Linked DNA regions of Oryctolagus cuniculus. The protein of the gene in region 2 interacts with the protein of the main gene of each other region in a pairwise test. Links are inferred from orthologs where the notes say so. Each region holds a gene or a part of one and is shown on either strand. Other genes may lie near its edges.

What was found.
Region 1: the proteins of EGLN3 (region 2) and FOXJ2 interact in binary tests that used the Homo sapiens proteins (3 or more experiments, as listed by UniProt). The two-hybrid records come from large-scale screens. The link is inferred for Oryctolagus cuniculus from reciprocal best matches to the Homo sapiens genes EGLN3 and FOXJ2.

The regions. Positions count from the first base shown.
Region 1 is NC_091440.1:101,908,315-101,912,120, reverse strand, and holds part of FOXJ2 (forkhead box protein J2), read right to left. Parts: intron 2,397-3,806; coding exon 2,322-2,396; intron 1,664-2,321; coding exon 1,595-1,663; intron 1,441-1,594; coding exon 1,300-1,440; intron 1,093-1,299; coding exon 903-1,092; intron 1-902.
Region 2 is NC_091443.1:41,509,785-41,514,179, forward strand, and holds the start of EGLN3 (prolyl hydroxylase EGLN3), read left to right. Parts: upstream 1-1,538; 5' UTR 1,539-1,554; coding exon 1,555-1,761; exon of another isoform or gene 1,762-1,808; coding exon 1,809-2,288; intron 2,289-4,395. UniProt on the Homo sapiens protein: Prolyl hydroxylase that mediates hydroxylation of proline residues in target proteins, such as PKM, TELO2, ATF4 and HIF1A. Target proteins are preferentially recognized via a LXXLAP motif.

The DNA.
Region 1 (3,806 bases), on a different chromosome or scaffold from region 2:
GATGCCAATTGAAACTGTATTTGTGAGAGTATCATGATGTCTTGCAATTACAGTAAGTTACTCCAGTTTTTTTAAAAAGTTAGATGGTAAATGCATCAAGTTTAACAAAATATGGGTGATGGAAACATGGGGGATTATCATGCTGCTCTCTCTGCTTTTGCATCTGAGTTTTTGTTTTGTTTTTTTTTTTTTTTCATAAGAAAAGGTAACATAAGCATGGATACATTAAAAAGTAAAAGCAAATTGCTCTCACAAAAAAATACAGGGATCCCTGGGTGAGGGTAGTGCTGCTGCCCCCTAGTGGTCATTACCTGGATGCCAGCGGTCACACATCTAAAAGGAATCCTCCAACACACTTCATGAAGGTAAAACCCAGCTCTCCTCCTGAAACTGCTGTCCTTGCAGGATAGACGGACAAGCTCCCTCAACTTCAGCTGTAGCTCATGCCACGCTTCCTCTAACCAATGACCAACGTCCTCTTGTGTTAAAGAAACAGGGTGGTCATTTGACATTGCGGTTAAGACAGCTTGAGATACCTGTATCCCATATCTAAGGCCTGGATTCGAGTCCCAGCTCCACTTCCTATTCCAGTTTCCTGCTAATGCTCATCCTAGGAGGCAGAAGGGGATGGCTCGAAGCGTTTGGATTCCACCACCCACATAGGACACCCCCATCGAGCTCCAGACTCCTGGCTTCAGCCCAGCCCAGCCCCAACTATTGCGGGCATTGGGTGAGTGAACCCGCAGATGGAAGACTCTCTTTCTCTCTGCCTTTCAAATAAAATGAACTTTTTTTTAAAAAATTGATACGTAAATATAAACAAGAAATAAGGGAGAAGAGAGAACATCACCATTCAGTAAATAATATCAGGATTCCATTCGCCCACCCAGCTCCAAACGCACCCTGCTGGGAGGAGGACGAGGACTTCTCCAGCATGGATTTGTAGAGGTTGCGGAAGGACCAACTTAGATCCTGGAAGTTGATCTCTGAATAGGAGAATTTGAAGTCGTGGTTGGTGTTATAGAGGGGAGGGGCGCCCTCGGCACCTTCTCGGCCTGCTGCCACTGGTCCGCCATCCACAGATCCCGTGCCCTGCAGAGAAACCGGGAGACTCGGTCCGTATCCACGTCCTAGCTGAGGGAGTGATGCGAACGACCCTTCAGTGGTCACCAGGCACTCCTGCCATCCTCTTCCTCCCCTCCTGACCGCGCCATAGCCCGGCAGCATTTTCTCATCGGTCCTGATCCTGAATCCAGCCTCCCACCCTCCCCCCACACCCCTGCCTCCTCAGCTCCCTACCTGGCTGTAGCTGGCAATGGATGTGGGGCTCTGAAGAGACATCTGAGGATTCCCCTCAGGAGACAGTGAGGCTTCTCCAGTCCCTGGAACGCCTCCCCGGGGGCTCTTGCTTGCTTCCTGCTCTGGTGAGTCTTGGGACAGCTGAGGGTTACAAAGGAAGGAATCCGTAAGTGCAGGCAAAGCATCCTCGCAAGACCCCTGGGTCCACCTCTGCTGGAGCCCAGGTAACCCAGGAAGAGAGTGGGAAGGAGCAGCTGGTTCAGAAACCGCAACTCCTGGAGAGGTGGGACCTTACCTCGTCATCTGGAGGGTGCCTTCTCTTCCGGGAAATGTCAGGACAGGTGTCAATCGTCCAGTAGGAGCCCTGGAAGGAAAACCCAACCCCACGGAGAATGACTGTTACATACAGAAGTTCCCCTGTTTAGAAACGTAGCCTGGGGGGAAGATTCACACCCATGTGTCAGTCATGTTAAGAACAGGGCTGGACATTCGCACAGCACCCTGAGCGTACCCAGAATGCCTGAGGAGTAAATCTGAGTACCCGCAGAGTATGCCAAGGTATGCCAGTGGCCCAGACACAGGCCTCTGGGGCAGGACTATGGAAATGGATGAGCTGGAAATGTCCAGATGTGGCCAAAGGTAACCCATCCTTTCCCTTGTGGTCCAGGCAAATCCCTCTTGGACTTTAGCATTTACATCTGCCAGATGAAGAGAAGGACCCGTACCTTCTCCCTTACGAAGGTGGAAACCCAACGATTTTTGTGTAGAAAGGATTCTAAAAGATTATTAAGTCTACTTTACCATAAATATTTCTATTTAAAGTTTACAAAAAAAAAGATTTTACAACCTAAGGGGGGCCCACGGGCTTGACAACAAGCTCTTCCTTTGACAAAAAAATAAAGCTGCTTCTCAATTAACATGATTTCCTCTTCTGGGTAATTAAAAAAGCCACAGGACCCGGGCCGTCACCTACTCAGCTCTCTTTCCTGCTCCTCCCTGCAAATCTGATAGCAGCATCTCACCTTCCCAGGGTCATCCCGAGGTCTGGGCACTTTCCGGAAACACTTGTTGAGGGAAAGGTTGTGCCGAATTGAATTCTGGGGAAGCAGAGACGAAATTAGACCTCAGCACTGAACAAAGCAGAAGTGTTTCCAATAGGATGCAGAGGGAACACAACAGAACATAGCAGCATACTATAAAGTCCAAGTATCCAAGGATCTTCAGCACCCCTTATTTTTTTAAGATTTATTTTATTTATTTTGAAAAGCTGAGTACAGAGAGAGAGGGAGAAACAGAGAGAGAGAGGTCTTCCATCTGCTAGTTCACTCCCCAAATGGCCACATTGACTAGGGCTTGGCCAGGCTGAAGCCAGAAGCCAGGAGCCTCTTCATAGCCTCCTACATGGGTCCAGGGGCCCAAGGATCTGGGCCATCCTCTGCTGCTTTCCCTGCATATCAGCAGGGAGCTGGATCAGAAGCAGAGCAGCTGAGACTCAAACTGGTGCCCATTTGGAATGCCAGCACAGGTGTCAGCTTAACCTGCTATGCCACAGCACTGGCCTCTTTAGCACCTCTTAACTACACTGATGGAGGGAATTATTTGTATCAGATAGGAAGAGTGATGACACAGGAAAAATGCAGACATTAAAGTGATGCAAGGTAATGGCTTCAAATTTGATTAGCAGGTGCTTCTGAAAAGCTGATTACATAGTCTTTGAACCTGTCTACCCGACTGACGACAGGAACATAAATGCTTCAAAATCACTCTGCCCATTCCTGAAACAACCCTACCAGTAGGAAAATAGCAATTTTAAAAACTATTTAAATAAAGTATAACAAAATGTAAATTAGGAGTGAAACAAAGGCACCAATTAGCTTTGTTTTCTCGGTGGTGCACAGAGTGGCCACACACACAGGAAAAAGGGTTGTGTGTATGTGTTGGGTGGGGTTGGAGGCTGTGACCACTAGCAGGGACATAGGGACGCATTTCAGAAAGTTCAGGGAAAATAGAATTAAAAGATAAATTTTGGTGCAAAAAAGAAATGTTGGAATCCATGTACTTAGTTTTTTCATAACATGCACCTTGCATGAACTGCCTGCAGACACCTGCTGTGCATGGGTTTGCAAATTTTTCTGCACCAAAATAAACTTTGCCCTTAATTCCATTTTTCATGAACATTTTGAAGTGCCCTTGTTTTTACAAAGGGGAAACTATGCTTTCACTAGTCTCCAGCTGCATCATACGGTCTGTATGTCAACAGGTGATTTATGGAGAGAACATTAAATCCCCATTCCTACTCCACCATTGGCAAACGAGTGGCTGCTCCAGTTGAGAACACCAGCCTGCCTTCTTTGCTTGGAAAAGAAGCCCCTTCCTCCTTCCTCTCCAGCCAAGCAATGCAATCTCTCACTACTTGCTTAGTGGGCCAGCTGTTGGTAAAGGACCTGATCGTATTATTTTTCTTGGTGTACAATTTTGTAAAAGATGGTAACTATGTGCAACAGAAC
Region 2 (4,395 bases):
ACAGCCAGGAGACAAACGCCCTTGCAGAATTTCTGTCTGCTCTGGCTGCTAAGGTTTGCTTCAGGGCCACCCGCACCTGCCTGACATTCTCTTGGAGTGAATTCTCTGGGGGGAAGTTCCCAGTCACTCTTCCATGTAGACTTCCAGTCCAGAATCCCGTGATGAGGCTGCCATGGCTCAGGATCCCAGTAAGCATTTATGAGGCACCTATCACATACCAGGGGTGGATGGAGGATGGAGGATGATGGGCGCCTGCCCTGGAATTTTAGGTGACAGCTCCTTGAGCACTGACCCATTTAAGCTTCCGAGGAGTGGCGCCTCCTGCTGACCATTCATACCAGGAGTGTCAGCTACTCAGCGACTTGGCAGAGGACTTCCTTTCAGTGTGAGAAGTTTCACCAAAGTTTCTTAAACCCTGTACGCTGACAGCTCCTCCCAGAACACCCCTAAGCCTCTCCCTGTGCCCTCACTGCGTTTCTTCCCGCAGAGGCCAGGACGAAGGAGAAAAAGTGACAGAATTGCAGGACACTGTGCACACAATCACGATACCCGAAAAGCCAGTTCCTTCTGTTGTGCAGTGAAGAAGCCAAGCTCACACTAAGGTGAAACCAAAAATATGGACATGGCTTTCCATGCAATATATGTGTCTCCCCTTCACACACACACACACACACACACACACCCATTCTGATTTCTAGTGCTCAGTAGGACAGGGTCAAAAAACCCACAATGCAGTTAGCTAATCTGTGGGCCACTACGACAACTTACGGTTGTGTCTGTCCCTCTCTCCCTGGCGTGGGGATACAACTGCATGTGGAGAAAGAAGAGGGACTTGGGGGACAGGGCGAGGAATATGCCCATATATTACATAGCTGTGTCACTGATTTTGCAGGTAGAATTTCAGAACATCGTGTTTTACTAAAACCGTGGAAGGTAAGTGGATGGAGACACCCAGCAAAGCAGAATGCAGTATTTGCTGTGCCTGATCGGCTATGGCTCGGCGATTCTTCATTGGCCACATCCCTCTAAGTTGAGCACAGAGTAGGAGCTAAGGGACCATGCTACTGTGTTCATGCTAGCTACAACTGCGCTCCTCCCGCCCGGCGGCTTGAGCCCGCTGGCTCGTGTCAGAGCCAAGGAGAAGGAAGAAGGAAAGGCACTTGGGAGGGCAAGAACGAGACCACCGTAGAACCTATGAGCCTTTGTTGCTGCGTTTGTTATTTTGCTCAAAAGCCTGTGCGGTGGCCAGCACGGACCGTGGCAATACCCCGCGCTCCTAATTTCATTCACTCGTAAGAGTGCGGATCCAGGTTTTCACTTTTGTTTTAGGATTTCATGCAAAACACTATGCAAATAGAGAGCATTGGAAAATTTCCAGCTCACAAACAAGTGAGACTGGCGACCGGCTCTTCGGGATCCCTGGCGGCGGGGCAGCCCCGGCGGGGCAATGGGCGGGGTCGGGGAGGGCGGAGCGGGGGCGGTCCCTGGGCGGGGACTAGGCGGGGCCGGGGTGGGCCCGGGGCGGGGCCCGTGACGCGTCGAGTCCGCCGGTTCATGGGCCGGACCTCAGCCGCTCCCAGCCACAGGCCGCTGCCGCCGCCTCCGCCGCCGCAGTGGTGGCTCCGCATCCTCAAAAGGGGCCCTCGGACTCCTCTCTGGGCCAGTCCAGCACTGGTTCGCGGAGCCCCGCACAACTCGGGCTGGCCCCTGAACGGCGAGCCCTTCCTGCCCGAGTTGCGGACAACTTTCCCTTGCCCTTGGGTGCCGCGGTGGCGCGGTGGCTCGGTGGCGCGGTGGCTCCCGGACAGTGCCCGCCGCAGGTTCCTGAACCCAGCGCTCCGCTCGCTGCGCCTCCGCTGGGCGCTGCGGCGGGTCGCTCCCCGCTCCCCGTGCGCACGTGGGGTGTCCCTGCCCTGCGTCCTGCGGGCGAGATGCCCCTGTCACACATCATGAGCCAGGATCTGGAGAAAATTGCCGTGGATTACATCGTGCCTTGCCTGCACGAGGTGGGCTTCTGCTACCTGGACAACTTCCTGGGCGAGGTGGTGGGCAACTGCGTGCTGGAGCGCGTGAAGCAGCTGCACCGTGAAGGGGCCCTGCGGGACGGCCAGCTGGCCGGGCCGCGTTCCGGCGTCTCCAAGCGGCACCTGCGCGGCGACCAGATCACGTGGATCGGGGGCAACGAGAAGGGCTGCGAGGCCATCAGCTTCCTCCTGTCCCTCATCGACAGGCTGGTCCTGTACTGCGGAAGCCGCCTGGGCAAATACTACGTCAAGGAGAGGTCCAAGGTAGGAGGCGCGCGGGCGCGGGGGGCAGCCGGAGTGAGCTGTCCGTCGCCTTCGCCGGGCTGCGCGCGAACTTCGGGGTTCATCCCAGAAGTCAGCCGGGTTCCTTTCTGGCCCCTCCACCCGGCCTTGACTCCCAACCCCGTCCAGCTCCTCTGTGCGAAAGTCCGCGTTAAGAGGCTGTTAATAGTGGCTGCTCTTGGTGATACAAGCCCGAGCAGCTGGGGCTTTGGGTCCGATTTTAAGGCACAGAGGTGCTCCGAAATCCAGACAGGAAAGGATGTTGGGAACGTTGTGTTTGACCTGAGACACACCTGGACACACCCACGATTGCCCTTCGTTGTAGGCTGATGGGATTCTTAGAGAAACAAAACAGCTGTGTTTTGCAGTGTGGCGGTTGCTTTGCGGAGCGTGGCAGGTGTGGGAAGGTGGGACGAAAGACTAGGACAAGTGTACGGTCTAAACTCTTCGCTTCGCAGGGCTGCCCTTGACTTCTTGGACAGGCGTACTGTCGGACGGACCATCTGCTTGTCTGGAAATTCTCTCCTTGTGCTAACCGCAAGCCACCACCTTCCTTTCCCCGACTATGGTTTGATGGCAAAATCCTCTTAACACAAACAGTTCAGTGCTCCTGAGAGAGGGGTCAAGTGCCTCCGGAAAGAAAGCATGTTTTTGTTCACAGAGCCGGAAGTGACTCCCTGGTTGGTAATTTATCTTGGAAACAGGTATAGGTAGATGGGCAGAAATATGGGAACCCTCACCATGATGTTGGTGCAAGCGTGTTCCTTTGGGATAGAATTGTTGCTCCGTCTCCTTCAGTTGCCAGTCCAGCCAGTTTTCCACTGGCAGTTCTGAGTGATTTGCACTTGTAGAGTGGTCTGGAAAGAGACACGCGAAATTGTGGAACACGTTTCCTGAAAACAAGTGAGGCGGAGTAGACTAGCACCGGAGGGGGAGGGAAGAGGAACATTCACCCAGGTACCACCATTCTTTGGACAACACACATAGTGTTTCTCAATCTGAGATAGGTCCAGTGATAAAAGGAAGCAGTGTTGTCTCATCTGGCCCACAGAGAGGAGCACTCTTAGTAACAGGGCAGTTTGCCAGGACGGCACGGGCGTGGGAAGCCAAGGGTCGAGGGGTGTGCATGGAGCAGGGAGCCAGACTGCTGTGTACCTTTCAATCCAGGAGCAACGGAATAGCATCTTCGAAGAAAATGCTGCTTTCTAAATTTTACTTTGATTTGGGAAAAATCCACCACAAATCGCACTGTGGAGAGGCCGACGTCAGAGTGTTTCTTTACTCCGCTCCTATCGTCTTGGTGGTGGATTAGAAAGTCATTTTTCTTTAGGTTAGGCTTGTTTTTATACCAAGTGACCTTCCTGGTCTCCTGGGGTGGGGCAGGGGGCTTAGCCTCAGTTGTTGCTAGGCCCTCCTAGCTTCAACCCAAGAGCAGATGGCTTTTTAACAGTTTTTTCTTTTTCCTTTTTTAAAGGTTTTGTTTAAACTCAGGTGTTAGAAATTTCTCCTCTGGAATTCTAGGAACAGAATTTGCTCTGGGGGAGGTCAGAATTAATTGGTAAAATCAGGTCACTTGCGTATTTGAAGGTTAAAGGGTTTTATTTAGCTTCAAGTTAGTGCATAGGGTGAGGGTTCCAAACTAGAATGAACTCACATGGAATGAAAAGCACAGTGTAAGTTAGGGAAAGGAAAAATGACTGCGAGATAGGAGTATTCGGCTATGGGTTATCTTCTGGGTGGAAAACAACTCCACTTACCCCTGTCCGAAGGTGACCGGTCTTGTCTGCTGAAGGTGCACTGCGCGTACCTAGATTTCCAGATTCGCTGGGGCGGTTTGGGCGCAAAGGCCTTCATCCCTGCCCTGGAGAAAAATCACCTGTGGATTAGGGTATTCCCTGGCCAATTAGAACCAAATGCAAACCAGATTTGAGAAAATAGTAAAGAAAAAAAAATTTCTGTCCTTGTATGAAGAAGTCTTAGTGATGTCTTGTGGCCACGAGTTTCTTGCTGGAAGCTGGTTCCTGTAGCATGGTAGAGACCCATTTCCACAGGTGGGTTCGCCAGTTCTACATGACTCCTGTGACTGCTG